Notamacropus eugenii: one gene and its partners. The protein of the gene in region 1 binds, or shares a complex with, the protein of each later gene. Links are inferred from orthologs where the notes say so. Each region holds a gene or a part of one and is shown in the gene's direction. Other genes may lie near its edges.

Evidence for each region.
Region 2: LIMS1 (region 1) and PARVA share a complex: the UniProt entries of both Homo sapiens proteins name them as parts of the heterotrimeric IPP (ILK-PINCH-PARVIN) complex. The link is inferred for Notamacropus eugenii from reciprocal best matches to the Homo sapiens genes LIMS1 and PARVA.
Region 3: the proteins of LIMS1 (region 1) and RSU1 are in contact, whole or in part, in a crystal structure (PDB 7LT9), measured with the Homo sapiens proteins. The link is inferred for Notamacropus eugenii from reciprocal best matches to the Homo sapiens genes LIMS1 and RSU1. Residues at the interface, in NP_001180417.1 of Homo sapiens: Cys252, Phe253, His254, Cys255, Asn256, Leu267, Asn268, Lys269, Ser279, Thr280, Cys281, Asn282, Thr283, Glu293, Phe294, Asp295, Met296, Lys297, Cys303, Lys306, Phe307, Pro308, Glu310, Leu311, Arg314, Leu315, Lys317, Leu318, Ala319; in NP_036557.1 of Homo sapiens: Asp21, Ser23, Asp24, Gln44, Val46, Ser48, His49, Val67, Asn69, Phe71, Asn72, His90, Asn92, Met95, Glu112, Asp115, Thr117, Tyr118, Arg137, Ala138, Tyr140, Ser142, Asp143, Ile161, Ser163, Arg165, Asp166, Glu184, His186, Gln188.

What each region holds. Positions count from the first base shown.
Region 1 is NC_092877.1:204,394,489-204,402,502, forward strand, and holds the start of LIMS1 (LIM and senescent cell antigen-like-containing domain protein 1), read left to right. Parts: upstream 1-4,919; 5' UTR 4,920-5,057; coding exon 5,058-5,239; intron 5,240-8,014. UniProt on the Homo sapiens protein: Within the IPP (ILK-PINCH-PARVIN) complex, binds to F-actin, promoting F-actin bundling, a process required to generate force for actin cytoskeleton reorganization and subsequent dynamic cell adhesion events such as cell spreading and migration.
Region 2 is NC_092877.1:32,946,058-32,954,158, reverse strand, and holds the start of PARVA (alpha-parvin), read left to right. Parts: upstream 1-5,065; 5' UTR 5,066-5,127; coding exon 5,128-5,404; intron 5,405-8,101. UniProt on the Homo sapiens protein: Plays a role in sarcomere organization and in smooth muscle cell contraction. Required for normal development of the embryonic cardiovascular system, and for normal septation of the heart outflow tract.
Region 3 is NC_092874.1:57,467,629-57,475,042, reverse strand, and holds the start of RSU1 (ras suppressor protein 1), read left to right. Parts: upstream 1-4,330; 5' UTR 4,331-4,578; intron 4,579-4,738; 5' UTR 4,739-4,741; coding exon 4,742-4,850; intron 4,851-7,414. UniProt on the Homo sapiens protein: Potentially plays a role in the Ras signal transduction pathway. Capable of suppressing v-Ras transformation in vitro.

The sequences.
Region 1 (8,014 bases):
TTCTCCTCTGCCTCTTAGAAATCCTCTCTTCCTTCAAGTCAAAGCTCAAACACTTCTTTCTTTTTTAAAAATTAATTTTATTTTTTTTCAGTTGGCAGAAATCTACCTTCTCTCCCTCCCTTTCCAATCCCCTTGCCCATTGAGAATGAAAGGAAAACATAGTCCCTATTACAAACATGTATAGCCAATCAAGACAAAATTCCTAAATACCACTTACTTTAATATATTAACAAGATTGGCAATGAGCCAGGGCATATTTCATTTGAAGATCAGTTAAAGGAATTATTTAGGACTTCACATACTTAAAGGCAGCTCCCTTGTGGAAGAAAGGATTAGACTTATTCTTGAACTTGGAGTGCTGAGGAATAAAATTTACAGAGGTAGATTTAGATACGATATAAGGAAAAATTTCATAACTAAAATGAGCAGAGTGTCTTGAGAGACAGTGGATTCACTCTTATTAGAGTGGCTATGAGGGGGGCAATTGGGGTTAAGTGACTTGCCCAGGGTCACACATCCAGTCTGAGGTCACATTTGAGCTAAGATCCTCCTGACTCCAGGGCTGATGTTCTATCCACTGCACCACCTAGCTCCCATCATTAGAGGATTTGAAGCAAAGGTTGGGTATGTTGTAGGGGAAATGAATTCATGTTCAGATACAGGGTGGATAGGTCAACTCCTGAGATCTATTCTCACTCTGAGATTCTGGGGTTCTTCATTCCATCCTTCAGACAGCTGCTCCAATAATCTTCCTAAAGCATAAGTCTGACCATGTTACCACTTTCCTGCTCAAGAACTTTCGTTTGATCCCTGTTAACTCTTGGACAGAATACACCGTCCTCAATGTAGACGTTTAAGCATTTAAAACCTTGCCCCTTCTGGGCTTCAGCTTCCCCTTCTCCTCCCCTTCATGGACTTTACATTTCCAGTAGAAATGAGCTGTCCCTCAGACTGGGCATTCTATCTTCCATCCCTGTGCCTTTGTATCCCTGTGCCTTTATATAGACACTCCGTGCTTTAACTGGAATACACTTCCTCTTATCTCTGCCTCTTAGAATCCTTCCGTTTCTTCCAAGTTCAGCCTGCATGCCACTTCCCATCAGAAACATTTCTTGATCTTCCTAGCTAATGAGAATTCTCATCTTGCTCAAATGATCAAGTAGTCATATACTTATCTGTTTAGATGTTTTATACTTTATTGCCTGGGCTTGACCTGGACCCAAACTACCATTCAAGTGTGGAGAGAGAGTCTGGAAATGAATTGAAAAGGTTACTCTTGGGCAGGACTCTTTTTGGAACCTCGGGGGACCTCAGCTCAGGAATCTAGATTCAGTGATTCCACAGAGCCTACCTGCCACTTTCTACTGAAACAAATATAGAATAGCTAAACATGGAGGTTTTCTAGAACTGTACCCCCCCTTTTGTTAATTTCGTCTAACAGCTGTTGGTTTGATTGTATGGCTGTTGTGGCAGTAGAACCATAAATCAAGTAACTTCCAGAATTAATTACTCCCCAAAAGATTGTTTATATTTTTTAGCTGACTTTATTAGGTGCCAACAAATGCTTTTTAAATAACAAAATGCTTGGATTTGAAAATTTGAATCCCAGCAATTATGACTGACATGGCCTTAAATACCCCCTCATCTTCTTTCTTGCTCTGCTAAAAATAATAATTCGGATATTTAGACCCTTAAAAAAAGCTTTTCCTTTGGTTCTAATCCATGGTATCAAGATGAAATGAGTGATTAATTGAACTGAATTATCAGCCTATCCAGGCTTTTGAGAAGAGTAAGGCCACATAACCTCACGGTGGCAGAAGAGCTGATCCCAGTCCTTTCTTATGTAGAGTGTGAGAAACCTTGGCCCTTTTAATGTTGTTCGAGTTCCACCATAGTCTGCTTGCATTTAGTACTTTGGTGGTTAATGTTGATTGTGTTTTAGTGGTTTTCAGATGTGTCTGACCCTTTGGAACATCATTGAGGATTTTCTTGGCAAAGATACTGGAGTGATTTATCATTTCTTTCTGCAGATCATTTTACAAATGAAGAAACTGAGGCAAACGGGGTTAAGTGACTTGCCCAGGGTCACACTTGCTAGTAAGTGTCTGAGACCAGATTTGAACTCAGAAAGATGAGTCTTCCTGATTCCAAGACTAGTTCTCTGCAACCTAGCAACCCTAGTTGGTGGTATCAAGTATAAGCTTCTTGAAGGCTGACTTTAGGACCTCACATATTGTCATAGCAGCATACTGGGCATGTAGCAGCAGGTCCCCAAGTTCTTGTGTGATAAATCACTCATAAGTAATAAAAACTAATAAGAAATAAGAATATGTAATGTGAACAATAGTGGGTTTTTTCTTAGAGACATTTTTTTGCTCTGTAACAATAGTTTCTATAAAGGTTCTCCCCAATTATGACTAGTCCTTTCATGTTGGTTTCTCTCCTTTTCCTCACTCCCTTAACTATGGGTCTTCCCCAAGGTTTTATCCCTCAGCTCTTTGACTTGGGTAATCTCATCCATTCCCATGACTTCAAGTATCACTTCTATATAGACAGTTCCCAAATGTACCCTAGCCTCCAGTCTCTCCCAACATCTCCAGATCCACATATCCATCTGCCTGTTGATACTCCAATGGTGTACCAAACTCAACGTGTCCAAAATCAAACCCTTCGTGATGCTCAAAAGCTCGCTCTGTGCCTCTTGAGTTTCCTTTTTCAACTCATGGCACCAACATCTTTATAGACACCCAGGTTCCAAACTTCAGTCATCTTTAACTCTTTCCTGTCTTCCATTCTCAAATCACCAAATTCTGTTGTCTCTAGTATCTATCCCTTTCTTTTCTTTTTCACCATGCCACCTTTGAATTCTGGTTGTGATGGCGATAGTTTAAAACATATCTTTCACTATCATGTGTATTGAAGAATTATTGGATTATTAGCAATGCTGTGAAGGGGAAAAGAAACATTGTCTTTTAAAGTCAGAGGACTTGGGTTCTACCACTTATTGCCTATATGACCTTAAGTCATATAATTTCTGGATCTCTGGATCTTCTTTACCTGCAAAATGAGAATATTGATTTATATTACACCAATGTCCCTTCTGTTTCTAAATTTGTGACATTATAAATGACATGATAACTTACCTCACTTAGACAAGCATTTTGCTTGCAAGCGAATACATTTTGTAACCTTTGCTAAGTCAGAGATAGAATCTATTTTCTTTTTTTAACGTTAAAGGGAAATTTTGAGCCTCATGATAAATTTCAGGTTTTCACTGGCCCTAGTGATGATGACAACTGAAATCTGTATCATGCTTTAAATATTGGTTTGATCCTCACAGCAGTCACACAAGGTAACTTCTAATATCAATACTCTCATTTTGCAGATGAGGAAACTGAGTCTTAGGAAGATTAAATGACTTACCTCAGGTCACACAGATAGTAAATATCTTAAGGCGGAATTTCAACCTAGTTCTTGCTGACTCCAAGTTCAGTACTTTCTCCACTAAATCAGAGACCCATCTTCTCCTACCACTTACTATCAACAGATACAGTTTCAGTTTATCTCTTCTGTAGGTTTTAGGTGGCCCACGTAAATTTTCTAAATTGATTGGAGGAGGGTTGTTTAGGAGGACCATGGGTTATTAAGAAACTTTAAATTTTACTTTAGGGTGCATTTTATTATATAGTAGATTTGCCTTGATAATTACAGTTTTACTTAAATTAATATTAGAACAGTTTTGCATTTTTTGAATGTGTAGCAAGTAAAGGGGCAAGATTTCATTTTGTATAAGTGGAAATCTAATCTGTGATAAATTTGTTGCAGGCAATATTAATATGTGTATGTAAATACATATATATGTAATGCTTGGATGTGTAGCCTTTTACATGCAGATCCTGGAAAGCTTCTTTGTAGAAATACGTATAGTCTGTTTCATTATTTTTGTCTTTAGGGCTCACTATTTGATAAAATTTAAAGATTTTACCAATCATGGAGAGAAGGAAGGTAGTAAGAATTTAGATCTGGAGAGAACTTAAAGAACATCAGCAAACACAAGTCTGATCATTTGGGTGGGGTAAATTGATCTGGTGCATGAAATACTAAAACAGGTCCCTATGGTAAAGGAGAAAAGTCAAGTGCTGGCATGTGTGTTGGAAAGAATCGCGTCATTGACTACAAAACTGCCCCTGTGTTGGCTGCTTATGGAGCCTTTGAGATGGAAGCCTAGAGATAACTGTGAATTATTAAGAAATATTGATTGTGAGCCTTGAAAGGATTCAATCATAGGCAAAGCTGTAGAAAAAAATCTAAGTGAAATGCCAAAGAACAAGGTGCAAGTGAAGCAGCCTGTTAGAGGTTCCTCTTTTCTCTAAATTTTAAACTACTTTTTTTGTAACTCAGGAGAAATATTATAAAACACAGATAATGTTAATATGTGGTTTTCTCTGTCAGTATGTGACATGTAGGGTTTATGTATGGTTTAGTAGCCCCAGTTTCTATTTAAGTTTAGTCAGAATGTAGTGCTTCACATACACAATATTTTTAGAATCTGGAAATAAATATATTCTCTGTGTGTGTGTGTGTGTGTGTGTGTGTGTGTGTGTGAGAGAGAGAGAGACAGAGAGACAGAGAGAGAGAGAGAGAGAGAGAGAGAGCGAGAAAGAGAGAGAGAGAGAAAGAGAGAGAGAGAGAGGAGAGACTTGGTTGTCCATAAAATGCTTCTGCTGTGCTGTGGTAGAATTTTCATGGTCCATAATAGATAGTGAAGACTGTCCTCCCTATGTTTATGCTAGCTCTGATGGAATGCTTGCTGTAGGGCTTCCAACAAGCCCAAGTAAATCATACCTTGTCATCCTGTCTACGGTGCCTCTGGGCTCTTAACTTGAAGCTTCTGTGGAGTCCTTATAAAGCCTGCCTAACTGACGTGTAAACAGTGGAAATGAATCCCACTGCTGGGAATCGGGGGGAAGTCCTGTACACTGTTTTTCCCGCTGGTGTATGTAGTCGGCAGCTCTCTGCCCCAGTATCAGAGCTCTCAGATAAGTTACTGCTTCAGGATGGCACTCACAGGCAGGGTACACCCCCTTGTCATTCCAGAAAACGAAGAAATCCCACAGACTGTAATTAATGATGGCCACGATGCTGATGAGAATGAAGGCGAGAAGGCTGTGTCCAAACTGCAGCGTAGGCAAAGTGACATAAAAGTCTACAAGGAATTCTGTGACTTTTATGCAAGATTGTAAGTTTTCCCTCTCCCAGGGTGGGTCCTTTACTGATGGGAATGTAGTGTTCTCAGTATTTTAAACTCACTGGCTGTTTTGACATTGTGTCCTTGTAGGAATGGTTTTGAAGGGTGATGCGCTGCTAAATATTCCTGCTGCTCACAAGTTGATAGGTCTGTGCCTTGGCTTTGCTAGTTAATGTGGTCCATTGACATAAAAGTACTCTTAGGCGCGATGCTGGCTTCATTTAGTTGGGGCTAATAGCGGCAGAGACAAATTTTCATTTCTTTTATAGTATGAGGAAATGTTTGCTCCAAAGTAATATGTTTTCATATCAGATCTTAAAAATTTTTGCCCATTTCAGACATTTAGAGACTCAGACATCATATTTATGAAGAATGTAATTTTGTACTTTTTTGTACATTTTATATATTTTAATATATTTACTGCACAATAATGGTTTAATATATCTTTTAATACATCTACTTGCAATGCCTGGAGCTAGACATTACCATCTAGTAATGGTTTTTAGGGGACTTGGTTTAGTAAGTAAAAATAGTTAATGATTGGCCAAGTTATTTACTTACAAATAAATGCTGTTAAAGTTTATGTGATAAATAATTTAAATAATAAAAAAGTTTATATGATAAATAATAGCCTAAGATCTTTTGTGTAAGATTAATCTGGGGGGGAAAAGGCAGTAATCACAGAAGATGAGAAGGCACAAATTAGCCAAGTCAGCAATGATATAAGATGCCCACATTAATGAGATCACAGGTATGGAAGTAAAATATCTCTACTAGGTAAACCCCCTATTTTCATTAGTAGTACAGAAATAACTGGCAGACCCAAGTTAAATGATTAAAACATTTTGTGTAATTGAAAATCCCAAATAAGATTGAAATTAATGACTTTGTCACTTGTCTAGTTTACCACTCGTCACAGCTTCCAGGGATCCTTACGTGCTCTCCAGTATAGAATGTAACTCTTTGGTCCCATTTAACAGCTCCATTTGTTGAGACATTAGGGATTGTTTTCATTATGTTATAATCAGGATTTGTGTTGTCTAGTGAATTTTTGTTTTAAAATAATTTTTTACAAAGTGTCCCAAAAGTCTCTGCAGTTCTAAGCTTCTAGAAACTTAGAACTTCATTGAGACTCTTGGGACATTCTTTATTTTGTTTTTACATCGATCTTAATTTACCCCTAGTATATCTCCTCACCTCTCCCAGAGAGCTTGTACATAGAACAAAGAATATAATTTATTTTATTTTATTTATTTATAACAAAGAATATATTTTATAGAAAAAAAAGAAAATGAGATGAGAAAAAAATCAAAAAGCTAATCGAATATAGGGAGTGGGGGATGGGGATATGAAACCATATGCAGTGTTCTGTATCCAGGGACCTGCCATATTTCCAAAGGAGAGTGAGAGGTATCTTATCCAGGGAATTCTATAGATGAGCTCTAGACCTATGCAGTGTTCTGACTGAAACCAGAAAAATGCTTTATTTTAGCCTGCTGTGATAGTAAACGCTTTATAAATGGTCATTGTTGAATTATTGATTAATTTTGTACAGTATAGTGGAAAGGGTTCTATAGAGAGTAAAGAGTCAGAAGGGGGGCTTCTAGTGTTACTTTCTAACTATCCTTCTGCTTTGTAAAATTGGACAATTGGACTAGGTCATTTCCCAGATCTCTTTGAGCTCTAAATGTCTGATTCTTTGAGCAGCAAGATCTTCACTTGTGAAATAGGAGTGATTATAGTTACACTACCTAGTTCACAGTTGCTCTGAATGATGTTTCTGTAAAATGTATGCTCTACATAAATACGTGTCATTGTTGTTTTCAGAAAGTTACAACAGATGGAAGGAGGGAGACTGACACATTTATATGTGGAAAGCTAGACATGGAACACTTGTTTTAGAATAAATCGACTTAATTAGTGGTAGATTATTGTTTAAGAAGGTTTTATCTTGAGGGTTTAAGTGTTCACAGGGATTTTTATATGAACACTTTTTGATTTCACATCCTGGCAAATTTACTGATTATAATTAGCCATATTGCTTCTGTGGGCTCTCAGTTGATTTCTCCTTGATATCAGACAGCTTTGTTGATCCTTCATTGCCTGGTTTTTCTAACACAAAAATGACACTCTCTATGATATGCGGTAATTACTATATGATGAATTTTTTTTGCATCATTTCTTCAAACCTGACTACCTACTGTGTGCTAGGAATTGTGCTAAGCATTGGGGTACAAAAAGAGGCAAAAGACAGTCCCTGCCCTAAAGGAGCCCACAATCCATTGGGAAGACTATAAATATGTAGAAACTAAGCTATATATAGCTTAAATAGGAAATAATTAAGAGAGGGAAGGCACTAGAATTAAAAGGGGCTGGGAAAGGCTTCCTGTAGAAGGCGTGGGATGATGGTTGTACTGTTTTCACACAGATTTCATTTCAACTAGAGTCAAAAATGGAACTATATTGTTATGGGCGGGGGAGGGGGCAGGAAGTGTACCATATAGCTGAGGCACATTGTGAATATTATCCTGCTTCTCCCTCACCCCCCCCCTTTTGTTTTTTGGTGGGAGGGCGAAGGGGGATGAGAAGGGGTAAAACTGTTTACCTTGACATGTGTTTTAAATCATTAGCTGAATTTAGTATAGCTTCTAATCATTTATAAAAATCCTAAGTGAGACCTTGGAGGTAGAATGAGCCTTGAATTTAATCCAGATAAACTGTCACTTCAGACTGTCTGACGTAGGGCACATTATTTAACCTGTCTGT
Region 2 (8,101 bases), about 170 Mb from region 1:
ACAAAAAGGGGTCGCAAGAGGAAAAAATTTAAGAAGACCTGATCCAGATCATCTATACATATCCATGTTTTGCTTATATAAGTTGGATACTTGTTGCTCCCTAACTAAGCATCTTTGCCGGGAAATCACTTTCTACAGAGTAGACAGTTTTTCTTCTTCACTTTAAATTCTTTCCATCAATTCTTCCTCATTATCATTATCACCATTACAAGCAGCAACTAGACCATGTTTGAGTGGATTTTCCCATTCTTCTCCTTTTACCAGCTCTGGGATAAGTAGCTGCCATTGAGTCAAAGCTCCCTCCTTCTCAAAGACAGTAAAGTCTGCATCTGCTGCTGCTGGCTCTATCCTCTTTTCTTTCCTCAAGGAGCTGACAGGCTAGAAGCTATTTTCAAAGTTTTTACTTTTTTGCACTCTTAGTTCTGTGTTCCATGTCTTTGGCATTCCGTTGCACTCTTTGGCTTCTCTTTCCTTTCTTTTCCTTCCTTGGTGGAAGGCAGATCAGTTCATTGGTGGATTCTGTTGCCCCCACACAGGTCTCTTTCTTTCCATCCCAATAAAGATACTGCTCGGTTGAGGAATTATAATAGTATGGAGAACCAGGTGGGTTGTTGATTTGATCGTACAGTTGAGGATTTTGGGATAATATATCTGCTGAAATAGTGGTAACTGCTGCCCTTGGTACAGTAGATGTATCATTCTTCGCTCCCCCTTGTTGCTGGTAAAACTGCTGATAATCCAATGAATACTGGATTTTCTGTGCATAGCCATCTTGGCCTGGCTGCAGGTAATTGTTTAGGCATACCTCAGAGATACTGCAAGTTAGGTTCTAGACCACTGCAGTAAAGCACATATTGTAATAAAGAAAGTTACACAGTTTTTTTGGTTTCCTAGTGCATATAAAAGTTATGTTTATACTATGCTGTAATCTATTAAGCATACAATAATATTATGTCTAAAAAATGTACATACTTTAATGAAAATGCTTTATTGCTTAAGAAAATGCTAACCATCAGCTGAGCCTTCAGTGAGTCATAATCTTTTTACTGGTGGAGGGTCTTGCCTCGATGTTGAGGCTGCTGACTGGTCAGGATGTAAGTGCTAAAGGTTGGAGTGGATATGACAATTTCTTAAAGTAAGACAACAACGAAGTTTGCCATATTGATTGACCCTTCCTTTCATAAAAGATTTCTCTGTAGCATGAGATGCTGTTTGATAGCATTTTACCCACAGTAGAACTTCTTTCAAAATTGGAGTCAATCCTCTCAAACTCTGCTGCTGCTTTATCAACTAAGTTTATGTAATATTCTTCAATATTGTTGGACTCATCAGATAATGGAGAGGCCCAGGAGATGGAAAAAGACAGGGGAATGGCTTGTCAGTGGAGCAGTCAGAACACACACAACATTTTTCTATTAATTTTGTGGTCTTAATGGGTACAGTTGGTGGCACCCCAAAACAATTATGTGTATGTATGCATAATGTGTATATAATACATATATATTACAGATCATCATAACAGATATAATAATGAAAAACTATTAAATATTGTGAGAATTATCAGAACTGTTGGAAAAATGTTGAAAAAGTGACAGGGTTGCCAGAAACCTTCAATATGTAAAAACTCAAAATCTGTGAAATGCAATAAAGCAAAGCACAATAGAAGGAGGTATGCCTGTAGTTTATATTGTCACATTCTCCACTTTGAGACTGAGGGGATGACCACCTAGCTACAGCAATGGCTATGCTAACCACAGAAAAAGTGCTGACCCTGTTACCATCTGGTAGAACCCAATCTTTTTGAGCACTTTTGGCAAAATCTGTTCCAATTGTTTTGGCATCGATATTCAGTGGAGGATGAAGACTTTGTAGCACTTCTAGTAGCTGAGAAGCATCCGTTGTTGAAGACATCTGTACAAATGCAAATCCTCTGTTCTGCTGCATCTGTTTTTCTCTTATAAGATGAGAGTTTCTGACTAATGACGCATTTCAAGTACAAGGAGCAATAGTAAAAGAAAAATAGTATCACAGTAGTAATCCATAGACTGGATAGACTCTGTGGTTTTAGATGGAAGTTCTGAGTTAAATTTATCAACTCCACATCTGAAGCATTTGAGTCTTTTCCTAAAGTTGTTAGGGCAGCACTTGTTACAAAGCCATCCTCAAATTTAGGTCCAAGATTAAGATAATGCATTGCAATGTGATTTCATTGAATTACCAACTTTTTCTGATTGGTTTCTATCCAGCTGGTAGCATCTTGCAATTGATGATACTCTAAGAAGGAGAGGCCATGGCTTACACCTATTTTCCTCTTCATCAGCCATATATCTACAGGCTGAGAGCCTTCAAAGGATTCCATTCTCTTTCTAATATCATTCTTTGTAACAGTAACTGAAAGTGGGGGCAACATAATTGTTTACTCTCCCACTCATCGTTAATATCATTCCTATAGTCATGTTCTCCATAGTCAATATCAGAATGGTAACCATTTTCTGATCTGTCACCGTTCTTTCTCTCCATGTTCCCTCTCTGGATTGTCATAATCCCTGGGATCATCATATCCATCTTCCCTTTGATCGTCACTAGATCTTTTATAGTCTGAATCATTTTGACTGCTTCTGGATTCACATTAGTCCCAATCAAACTGGTCCATGATGGAATCATATCTTCTACTACTCTCTGTTCTAGTGACTCTTTTGTCTAAACTCATAGTTTTGTTAAAAGTGCTAGCACCCTACTCCAAAAATGTCAAATATCTTTTTCTAGAGATGGTTGGGATCAGGAGAAAGTTCCAGGGGTGAGCATCGACAAACCCATGCACTCACCCCTAACTGTGCTAGGTGAGGAAGCTCTTGAAGCTCAGAGTCCCAGGGATTCCAGCAACTGTCTGGGACCTGAAGAAAATGGTGACTCCCCTGAATGTTGTCTCCTATTCACTTAGCCCCTCAACACTCTTAGCTGGCCATCACCTGCTGGAGCCTCTTATACTTCTTAAACAACAAGGTGGACATGACCATAGTTCAGTTTTTTTAAAAAAAATATAAGCCTCTTTCTTGCTTTTTTTAACATATTCAAATTGTTAAAATCAGTAGAGTAGGAAGGGAGGGAGTAGGGAACATGAAACTGACCAAGTAAGAGGGAGGTACATTTTTTCTTCAGCTTGATAAGCTGCTTCAGATACACCTAAAGTTACTTGCCTTTTTTTGTAACCCCAGTGGTTAGCACAGTGTCTAACACATAGCAAGTGCTTAATTAATGGAAATCTTATTTGATGATAAATAGTTTGATGGTCATCAAAAGACCTGGGTTTTTTTCTTAGACAGCTGAATCACCAATTCACAGTGACCTTGAACAAGTAGTTGACTTCTCAGGGTCTCAGTTTCCTCATCTGCAAAATGCACTACTTACCACACAGGGTAAAAATTGGATCACCTGTCTACCTGTAGCTTGCCTTGCATATAAGTTTCAAGCTTAGGAAGTTAGGGAAATATTAAGAGGAAGCTATGAAAGGTAGGGAAGTGTATTGTGGAGGAGCTGGTGTCCTAAGACCTTAATTAGTGTTATACCTCTACTGGTACTAGGAGAGTAACTGTGGACAAGTCACTTAAGGCTGAATGCCCCAGTCAGATCTCTTAAGACAATAAATGACAAATGAGATGAAGATTGGTAGAGGGAGTTTTCACACCAGGAATTTCCACAATGATGAAATCATCGATCAGAGCTTGAACAAAAACCAAAACCATCGAAGGAGGACTGGGATAGGATGGTGACTGAGGAGATTAGTGTCCACATGGCTAGGGTTCTGGATGATAGGTCATCTGAGGTAGCCCTGAGGAGTGAATGGGAGTACAATGCTGTCATTGACAGAAAAAGGGAAAGATGAGAAACCAGTTCTGGGAGGAAGATGATTAATTTGACTTTAGGCCTGAGTTTGAGGCAAGAACATGACTCTCCTGTGGAGATACTCTGGTGTTGATTGTAGGATTCTAAACAGCAGGATGGGCTCTTAAGAAATTTCAGATCTGAAAGATGTGCAGTAATATAACCCTCTGATTTTATAGTATAGGAAAATGAAGCCAAAAGAAGGGACTTGCCCAAGGTAATAAAGCTAACATGTCACAGCTAGGACTGCAACAGCATAGAATGCAGGTCACCTCTAAGCTCCTGGCTCCCAGAAATGGATCTTGAGAGAGAAGTAAGGACTGGCACTATAGATCCTGAAACTGTGCTAAAGGGAAGCTCTGAGGATGAGTAGGCTTTTCAAGAGAAAGAAGGAAAGAGAAAAAGATCAGAGTTGTTGAAACCTAATTCCTTTCTTAACTCGACCCCATGGGAAATTCAGAAATCAGATGCTGTCAGATCTGGAGCCTGTGGCAACCATAGCTTCTAGCTTATCACAAGTTTCCCAGAGTTCACTGAACATATTCAAGGTTGAACTCACAGCTGGAACTCTTGAAATTTAATTTTTTTCTTAAATGTCTGAACCAGAAGGGTCTTTAGGGGCTATCTATTCCAAAGCCATCAGCGCAGAGATGAGTACAGGGTTATGCGATTTCTGAAAGAATGGCTAGACCCAAGGGAATTTGATCATATCACACTCGCTATTGAATGTTGGCTTTCAGTTATTGGCAGGATCCAGTCTGTGATGTCTGCTGTGGTTCTTGCAGCTGGTCAGAAGAAGGTTCAGGTGCTCAAACAGGCTCTCCTGGGCTAGAATCTTATTTGAGCAGGAAAGGAAGACAGGAGAGCCAGTAAAGACCTCTTTGAGAATGGGTGCAACAGATATGGGAGGCAGAACTTGAATCCAGGCCCTCCTAACTCTAATGCTGACGGTGGCAGACGGGAAAGGTTAAGGAATAAATATCTTCATGCTTGATAAGTGCAGGTCCACTATTGAAAAGTTCTGGGTTTTGGTAGTTAACAGATGAGGTTCCAGGGGCTGAGGCTGGCTGGGGTTCCTACCTGCTTTAGGTGAGCTCAGTGGCCTGGCCTGGCCCGGCCCAGTCAGGGACACTGAGTGCCAGAACCAGGGGCCAGACAAACTTCTTCCCGGGAAGGCGGGCGAGAGGGAGGGAGCGAGGGAGGGAGGGAAGGAGGGAAGGGAAAGGAGAGCGAGAGCTGCCTCAAATGCTTGGAATAATTCCGCTTCCGTTTGGAAAGGGGCAGCTTCAGTCTCCGCGGCCGCCGCCTGCCCTGCCGCCTTCTCCTTCGGTGCGCCCCAGTCCGACCCGGCCCGGCCCACCCGGAGCTCCGCTCTCCGCTCCCGCCATGGCAACCTCCCCCCAGAAGTCTCCCTCGGCCCCCAAATCTCCCACCCCCAAGTCTCCCCCGTCCCGGAAGAAAGATGACTCCTTCTTGGGGAAACTTGGAGGAACCCTGGCCCGGAGAAAGAAAGCCAAGGAGGGTGAGTAGGGCGCCGGGCTCGGCTCTCGGGGGCTCCCCCTCCCCCCAGCTGGGAGCCAGCTTAGTCGGACAGCGCCCTGGGAGGGGCGGCCGGGGCAGGGCAGGGCAGGGCTGGGCTGGGCAGGCCTGGGGGGACCCTGGGAGAGCCAGGCTGGCTCTGCGTGCGCCCCAGGGTGGGGGCAGCGCATCTCGGGGCTGTGAGACCCGGGAGCCCACAGCTGGCTGCGAGCCGCGGGGCTGGAGGGTCTGGGGGTTTGGGGTGTGTGTGTATGTGTGTGTGTGAGCGTCCCAGTGTGTGTGTGCGTCTGTGTCTGTGTGCGTGAGCGTTTGTATTTCCTGTGGAAACGTCACTCTGGAAAAATGCGGGAGCCCAGCGGCTCCAGGCCTGCCCCGCCCCCCGCGGGCCGGTCCAACTGCCCGGATGTGCGCTCCCTCTGCCCCGGGCCTGGCCAGGCCCCTGCCCGGGTTCCCGGGCTGCCCCCCGCGCTCTGCGCACTGGCCAGCCCCGCTTCTAGAGCTGCCAGCCTTGGCTCCCTCTCCTAAGGAGGAATGCGGATCTAGATCTTCCCGCAATGGCCAGGGAGGCTGGCGAGGCCCGCGGGGTGGTGTTCTGTGCCGCCGCCCAGCTCTGGCCGCTGGACAGGATGCGCCCGGAGCTACCTCTGTCCGGCGTCTGCTGGCCTTCCCCCGTGCCCCGACCAAGGGAGGCTGGGGCTGGGCCAGGCTACCGGGCCTTGGTCCATAAGCATCTCTCTCTCAGTTCCGGCATGCACTTTCTGAGGTCCTCGAGAGCCAGGGCCATAATTATTACGGGGATGCCAATGATGAAAGGGCTCCCCTGGGAAATTCCCAAAGCACTTTAGAAAATGCTGTCACTTTTCAGCCTCGTGGCCTTCTGAGCCAGGGACTCCTGGGGTTATTAATCCCACTTTGCAGGTGAAGCAGATGAGGAGGAATGAGTGACCTACTCCGACTCACCCAAATACCAAATCCAAGTCCTGACTGCAAGGTCCAACATGATCCTTTATCCTCTACCCCACAATCTTAAAATGCTACTCCCATTAGCGGCTCTAAAAAGACCCAAACCAGAGCCTACACTCAGTGGAGAACTCCAATCGAGGTTACACTATTTTTTGGCCTCTTGACCACATCTTTCCCAAGGAGGCAGTGAGTATGGCCTCGCTCTTGTTTATCCTTTCTGGAAGAGGACCTTGTGACATCAGGGAGGTAGTGTCACAACATGCAAGTGAGTTGGATTTAAGTGAGGGAGGACTGTGCAAAGTCACCAGCTTCACTTTCTCCTCCAGAGCCATCTGGGTCCAGTGGCAAGATACAGATGAGATGGAGATAACCTTGGATGCAGTGGGACACTTTGACCTTTCTGATAACAAAGCTGAAGATGAGGGAGCTAGGGTCCTGTGGAAAGTTTTATAATCTCTAAGTTCCAAAGGTGGGATTTGATTTCTAGCTAGTGGGGCTACTCAGAAGAAGGCAGTCATTCAATAAGCATTTATTAAGCACTTACAAAGTACCAGACATTGAGCAAAGCTCTAGGGAGGCAAAGAAAGGTAAAAGACAGTTCCTGCTCTCAAGGAGCTCACAGTCTCATGGGGGCGATGACATTCAAATAGCCACATACTAACAGGATATATAGAGTATTATGTGAGAAATAATTTAAAAAGGGAAGTCACTAGAATTAAGGGAGGTCAGGAAAGGTTTCCTATAGAAGGTGAGATTTTAGCTGGGGCTTGAAGAAAATCAGGGAAGAAAGGAGGGAGAAAGGAGAGAGAATATTCGAGGGACAAGGGACAGCCCCTGAAAATGCTGGAGGTCAAGAATGTGCTGTGTGAGAGTAACAAAAAGGCTGGAGTCACTGGATCATCAAGTGCATAAGACAACTGGAAACATAGGAAGGAGTCAGGTTTTGAAGGGTTTTTTTTTTTTTGTGCCTAACAATTTTTTTATTTTTATTTTTTAATATTAATTTTATTTGTTTTCACTGTTCTACAATCACTACCATATAACTTAGATTATTTTTCCCCTTCCTCTCCCTCCCTCCCCCCTCCCTCCCCAAGATGGCATACAATTTTATATAGGTTCTATACGTACATTCCTATTAAATACATTTTCACTATAGTCATGTTGTGTAGAAGAATTAAAATGAATGGGAGAAATCATATAACAAACCAAAACATAATACAAAAGAAAATGATCTGCTACATTCTGGGATTGAATTCCAAAGTTCTTTCTCTGGGTATGGAAGGCATTTTGCCTTAAAAGACCATTAGGAATTTTTTTAAGTCCTTGCATTGCAACGAAGTTCCAAGTCTACCAGAAAAAACTCTCGCACACTGTGGTCATTGCTGTGCACAAAGTTCTCCTGGTTCTGCTCCTTTCACTCAGCATCAGATCATATAAGTCTTTCCAGGCCTCTCTGAAATCTTTCTGTTCACCATTTCTTATACCACAATAGTATTCCATTACATTCATATACCATAATTTATTCAGCCATTCCCCAATTGATGGGCATACCCTTGATTTCCAGTTTTTGGCCACCACAAAGAGGGCTACTATAAATATTTTTGTACATGTGGGACCCTTTCCCATTTTTATGATTTCTTGGGTATACAGTCCTAGAAGCAGTATTGCTGGGTCAAAGGGTATGCACATTTTTGTAGCCCTTTGGGCATAGTTCCAA
Region 3 (7,414 bases), on another chromosome or scaffold:
TATATTTCCATTCAAGGGTCATTCAAAACACAAGGTGGTGCTATAAGTCTGGGAGAGGGAAGACCATTAAAATGGTTGTTTATGGGTTACTTACTGAAAGTTACAAGTTTAATGTATTTTTCATGGAGTGAAATAAAAGCTGTCCTGTACGTGGTATGCATTGTTACCACAAGTGCTTGCATGGGTTGTTTGAACCTTTTTATCCTACCAGTGGAGATTTGCAAATAAAATATACTCTGAGATTGCCCATAGGTGACTGACTCTGGGTGGGAGAAGAATGAGTGAAAAAAAGCGTTTTTAGGCATTTCCTCAAATACTGGATCTGGTTAGTTAAATTCCAGAGAAGAAGGTAGGGTTACATCTATTACTACTTATACGACCTCTAGTCTGAGTCTAGTCTCCAAATTATGACTATTTTCACATAGATCATATGATCATAAGTTTAGATCAGGAAGGAACTTTATACGTCATTTGTTCAACCTTGTTATTTTATAAATTGTTATAAGATTAGACCTCTTGATCTTGAGACCACCATGAGTCTCCCCATAAGGGAGGCAGTAGCTAATAGAATCTATTCATGGGAACCATTGTTTTAAGATGAGGCCTGATGTTCTCCCCTTAAGGGAGGCTATATGTAAGCTTATAGAACACACTCATGGAAAAATACTGAAAATAACAATTTTTGAAGGTTAATACAGCGGCGTTTCTCAAGTAATATTTTGTTTACTATCTAGCTCATTTTACTTCCTGATAACAAATCACCAAAGTATTTTCCCCTTATCCCTAATAAGCAAAACAGCCAGGTCCAGGAGGACCACCCCATATCAGAGTATGAGAATCCCACTCTCAGAAGGGCAACTTCATGCTTAATGAACCCACATCTTTGTGCTCCCCAATGCAGCACCACCTTTATGTGAGTTATGTTCTGTGCTCGTGTATATGTCTGAGTTGTGGGCTGGGTCCTCCTTTCCTGCCTCCTCTTCCCCATTGCTTGAAATAAAACTTTGTATTGAAATGATTTCCATTATTTTACATGTTACTCTCAGTACTCAAACTTATTAATGAGTTTGCCATCTTTGACATCTCTGAATGACTCCTCACACAAAAGTTGTATGCTTGGACAAAGACTTAAGCTATTGATATCCATGCCTACTTGTGCATGGAAGAAGGAAGGAGTAGGGCACTGGGAACCCAGCTGCAGAAAGGGAGGCCCTAAGTTTTCACTGGAGTGACTCCCTATTGGCAGAGTACTGTCCTAAACTGAAGTACTGGCAAGTTAGGTGACACATCTAAGGTCCCAGAACTTAAGAGACAGAGAAGCCTACATGTCTTACTCAAGTTAGTTAAATGTAGAGAGGACCTGAGAGAGCATATAGTTTAACCCGCTCATTTTACATAGGAAATCATAGCTCAGAGAGGCTAGTTTGTCTTTAGTTGTACACCTAGGAAATAAAAAATTCTGGTCATATGACTGCAATTTTCAACTATTTCCACTGCAATCTCTGCCTTTCTAGGTGGGATATAAGCTACAGAGAGGAGGAGGCAGTGTAATACAGTGGTTAAATACACAGACATGTATGACATGGATTTTCAAGTCAGGGGGGCTCAGTTTAAATTCCATTCTCGACACTACTTGTGTCCTCTTGGGCAATAAATTAACAAGAAATTTAATTGGTGCATTCATATCACCTTACTGGACTTTAGTTTCCTCTCTTCAAAATTAGGGGGTTGGATTAAATGACATCTTAGATACCTGACAATAATCCTTATTGTCAAATTTGTTACTTGGTCCACATGAGGCTTAAGAAATGTGGCTGAACATAGTAGATGGTTTAATGGTTTAAACATTTATCTTTAACTGTTCCCCAGTTAGAAAAGTTGTTAGACCATTGGTTGTGTTAACAGGAATACACGGGGTATGTGTATACAAGCTAAAAATTATGTACTATGTGTCAGGGACTTTATAAATACTAACATTTGGTTCTTACAACTACTTGGAGAGATAGGGACTTTTATTATCCCCATTTTACAGATAAGGAAACTGAGGCAAAGAGGTCAACTGATTTTGCTAGGGTCATCAAAGGACAGATGACTCAATCTTTCTGACTGCAGACCCCAAGCTCTATTGACTACGTCACCCAGTTTCCCAGCAAGTTTTATTACTATAACTTTAGTCTTTTTTTTGATCAATAATTATTGGGCTTGCTTTTTCATATGCTTTATTTGCTAATGGACTGTGATACTAATTGCCTTCATAAGTTGACCAGCTGAGTTTCAAATGGAATACCTACCCATAAGATTTCTAGGAATGCCCATGTAATACACTATAGACCAAATCCCTCCAAACATTCTAGAATGAATATAACTTTCAAATTGTTACTTTTATTTCCCTGTGAATGAAGGAGCTGAGAATAGTTCTTTGGGTGGGAGGAGCAGCAGAGTGGAAGAGACAGATGGTAGTCTGTTGAGAGAGAGTATTACATAAACGTCTTGAGGGAAACTTAGGCTTCCACACACATTCACCTATTTCACAATTTCACAAACCCCAATATCCAACTTCAGTTTTCCTTAAAACAGTGGTTAACTTTTTTTACATTGTGCACCCTTATGGCCACCTGGTGGAACTTATGGATACTTTTTGTGAATAGTATTTTTATTTGCATAAAATGCAATATATAGGATCACCAAGGAAACTATTAAAATAGTTGTCAAAAAGTTCTTTAAAAAATTAACAGACTCAAGGTTAAGAATTACTGGTTTAAAACATGATTCGAGGTTTGACCTGCTTTAAAAAGTTTTTAAATTGTGGCGTCCTCAATTGTGTTCTCAGGTTAGCTTCCAATTTTTGGAGACAAAGAATGCAGGTGTAACATTAGTATATTACAATTAGATAGATTTGGTAAAACAAATGAATTTGCTGCTGTGCAAGTATCTTTAAAACAAGTCACTGGCTTGACCCCAAATTCTAGGATTTTCATCTAGAGCACTACTCCCTAGGATCCCGTCTCTTCTATCCTTTTCCTGTGATCCCATTAGTTCCCTTCCCCCCAAGACAAATATAATAATTAACTAAGCTCATGATGAAATGGCTCTTTTTTAAAAATAAAAACACAATAACTTGGAGACTCTATTTTAAAGAAAGTTCCTTTGAGAACAGTTTCAACCTAATCGGTTTCCTTTCAAATCTTCTATTTTTTTATTTGATGAATTTAAAAGCGATATTCTGAGAAGGGGTCCAAAGGTTTCCGCCAGTCAACAGGAGCAAGCAATTATTAAGCGCCTTCTGTTATGCTCAGGTTCCAGGAGACAATCAGGTTCTGGGGCAAGGTGAGCCAGTCAGGAGCCACCTTGTCCCCGTTCCCCAGCCCGCTCAGGGCCAATGACAAGGGGGCCTCCAGACGCTTTGCTGCAAAGTTCATGGGATCCAGCGCTCGGATCCAATCAATCAACATTTATTAAGCGCCTTCTGTTATGCTCAGGTTCCAGGAGACAATCAGGTTCTGGGGCAAGGTGAGCCAGTCGGGAGCCGCCTTGTCCCCATTCCCCAGCCCGCTCAGGGGCCAATGACAAGGGGGGCCCCAGAAGCTTTGCTGCAAAGTTCATGGGATCCAGCGCTCGGATCCAATCAATCAACATTTATTAAGCGCCTTCTGTTATGCTCAGGTTCCAGGAGACAATCAGGTTCTGGGGCAAGGTGAGCCAGTCGGGAGCCGCCTTGTCCCCGTTCCCCAGCCCGCTCAGGGGCCAATGACAAGGGGGGCCCCAGACGCTTTGCTGCAAAGTTCATGGGATCCAGCGCTCGGATCCAATCAATCAACATTTATTAAGCGCCTACGATGTGCCAGGCACTCGGAGTAAGAGGGTAGGGGGGAATACAGTAGAAAAGGTAAAAGAAAGCCCCTGCCCTCAGGGAGCTCCCGACCTGAAAACAAACGTATACAAAAGGTACGGACAGGTCAAGTCAATTCATCAGCATTTATTAGGTGCCTTCTGTGTGCTGGGCAATGTGTTCGGTACTGAGGACAACGGGGAGACGGCGCGCAAACAAAGCTACACGGGACAAATAAACGGAACAGCTTCTTAAATCCCTGGAGATAACGGACCCGGAGCTGCACGGTCCCCTCATAACAGGCCCGGCCGAGGGCGCACGACTCTCTCAGAGTTTCCTGCTTCCTAGCATGCCTCTGCTTCCCCTCTCCACCGACACCCGACAACGAAACTGGAGGTGCGTAAGCGCTCCTGCGCACGCGCCCTCGGCTTCACCAATCAGCATCTAAGAGCGACCTCTTGGGGGCGTGGCCGAGAGCGGAGCGGGGCGGAGTCTGAGGCCAGGTCCGCCGAGGTGATTGGCCCGCCTGGAGCGCCACATTTTGGGGTGGGGCGGAGCCTGCCCCCGAGGCCCTGGCCTCCGAGCGATTCTCCTAAATTGGGAAGAGTCCTGGGCTTCTCTCGCGCTGGAGGGGCGGGAGCGGAGAGTGGCGCGGTCTGCGCTTGCGCGGGGGTGTGGGACAGGGCGTGTTGACTCCTGTGGGCTCCCGGCTTAACCGTGCGGGACCCCCGGCGCTGCGGCTGTGCACAGTAAGTGGGGGTGGCGGTGGGGGCGCCCCTCTGCCCACCCTCCCACCTGGGGACGGGGCGCGGGGTGGGTCCGGTCCTGTCCGCCGTCGGGGCTGGGCGTGGGAGGTGGCGGGACCCCAGACCCACGCGTGCCGCGCTTCTCGTGTGCGTCCCCCCGCAGACCATGTCCAAGTCTCTGAAGAAGCTGGTGGAGGAGAGCCGGGAGAAGAACCAGCCCGAGGTGGACATGTGCGACCGCGGCATCTCCAACATGCTGGACGTCCACGGCCTGTGTGAGTAGCCCCCGGGTCCGGGGCGGGGGGGGGCGGGGGACCCCAAACCTCCCCGCAGGGGGCCGCGCTCTCCCGCTGCGCGCCCGGCTGGGCTCGGCCTGCCTCCCACTCCGTCCGGTCCCTTTCCCAAACTTTTAAAAGGTCGTAGATGTCGGGCCAGCCCGTGTTACAGGGGAGGAAACTGAGGCCCAGCCGATCGATCATCCGAGAGGGCGCTGAGTCCAGGTCTCCAGACCCCACTGTTCCACCTGATCCTTGAGTATGGATCGTGCCACCCAGGAGTGCCTTGGCATGGTGAATAGACTTCTTGAAAACTTGGTGTTACTTACCAGTTTGTTTTTTACGATTTGGAAGGAATCAGTGTAATTTTTTGTTTTATTATTTTCATTTTTTGCACAGCTCTTATATACACAAGATACAACAGATGTATGTAAGATATGCTGTTTTTTGCACTAGATCCTGATCAAACATTTAGCCTCACTAAGGTTAACAGGATCATTTCTAATATCTTCTCCAGATCAAAATAAACATGATCAATGAATGTGTGTTTTATAAAAATAGCCTTTTGTGTATACACAAATGAGCCACCATGGGAAAAAAGCCTAAATCCCACTCCGTTGGAGAGAATTGAAGGCAAGAGTTCCTAACATAGCATCTATGAACTTCATACACACACCTACATATATATATACGTACACATATGTATGTATGTACGTATATATGTATATATATATATATATATATACATACACTTATACGTATTTGTTGTTCAGCTGTTTCAATTGTGTCTGACTCTTTGTGATCCATTTGGGGTTTTCTTGGCAGAGATACTGGAGTGGTTTGCCATTCTTCTCCAGCTCATTTCACAGAGGGGGAAACTGAGGCAAACTGGGTAAAGTGACTTGCCCAGGGTCACACTGCTAGTAAAAAATCTGAGGCCACATTTGAACTCAGGTTTTCCCGACTCCAGGCTCAGCCCTGGGCCACCTAACTACCCATACATATTCATACACCTCCATTATAATACATCATGTACACCCACATATAGGTATTTGCATATACATAGAGACGTGTATGCATACACAGATAACTTCATTTCGATATAATTGGGTTTTTTTGTAATGCTGTCTGTTTTATGCTTTTAAAAATATTATTCTGAGAAGGATTTCATAGGTTTCACTAGATTACCAAAGGGTCTCACAAAACAAAATTAAGAATTCTTGACTTAAGATTAATGTCCCTCAGTAATTAAAAACTAGAGTTCCCCAAATAAAAATTTAATTCTGAGGGTTTGAAAATGCAATGCTGTACCTCCCAGCCCTAGTTTTGTGTGGGTCCCCAGGGTATCTTCAGTTATGTTGTAAGGGGTATAATGAAATCTTCAAAGCAAGAGTAGTATTAATTCAGTTTAATTAGTGGAAGGTATTTTTATGTTCTACTGTGATGTCTCATTGTGGTGTGGAAATGACTCTGCAATCTCTAAGTTGTGCCAGTAGAACCCAACCACTGGCAGATCCTGCCCAGCTGAAAAGGCTTCCTCTCTTTGCCCAACGACAAAGTTGTGACTGAAGGGACTGGTCCAGATGGTTTTGGAGAAGCATGTTCTCATGCTGATAGCAGGAGAGGAGGCAATCTAGTATTATGGAGACTGCTGGATTTGGAGTTGGAGGATGTGGTGTTTGAATTTTGCTACCTGAGTGACCTTAGCAAGTAATTTAACCCTCTCTTGTCTTGTTTCCTCATCTGTAAGATCTATATAATGAAAAGAGGATTGGATGCAAGCCTTCATGGTCAGCTACTAAATTGTAGTTAGGGTTTTTATATGTGTCAATAGAGGGCATACCCAAAGCTGATGAAATCAAAATTGTTGAAATGTGAAGTAATAAAAGAAAATCTGTATGTACATATATACTTCAAGGAGTGGTGAATTTGTGTGGGTGCTATATAAACTACCTCTTGGTGACGGGGGAAAGGGAACAAATGATGGTAAGAAATTTAACAAATTTTCAACTTACAAGTCAAAAATGTTATAATATGTGGGGTTAAATAGGTGAGGCTTTCTACAGTATTTGCCAGTTAAAAGAATCTTATGTTTAGCCCAAATGTAATTTCTTCATCACTGTTTGAGGTCTGCAGGCTTAACTATGAGATTTTAGAATATTTATCAGGTACCTTTGAACAGAGAACTTGGAGTGGGAAGAGGTAAAAGAAGTACAAAATTTCGTTACTGATGAGCAGTGTAGATTTTATTTGTGGAACTAGAGTGTTCTAAATGTGGAAAAAAAGGTAAGAAGGCACACAGTGCAACATAAAAATAAATGCATAGTAGAACATGTATAGTGGACTTGATAGGGAAAGACTTACTGAAAAATTAATTTTGAGCAGTGTTTTTAAGGAGGCGAGAGACATAGATGGGAGAAAAAGATAGGAATGAGTGTTCCAGATTAGGGAAAAGGGCATGATTAAAGGTAGTGAAATCAGCATGGTATGTGGGGGAGACAGCTTGGGAAGTAGCTAGACCTTGAACAAAGTAATGAAATGATTAGAGTGATTTTCGAGAAAGG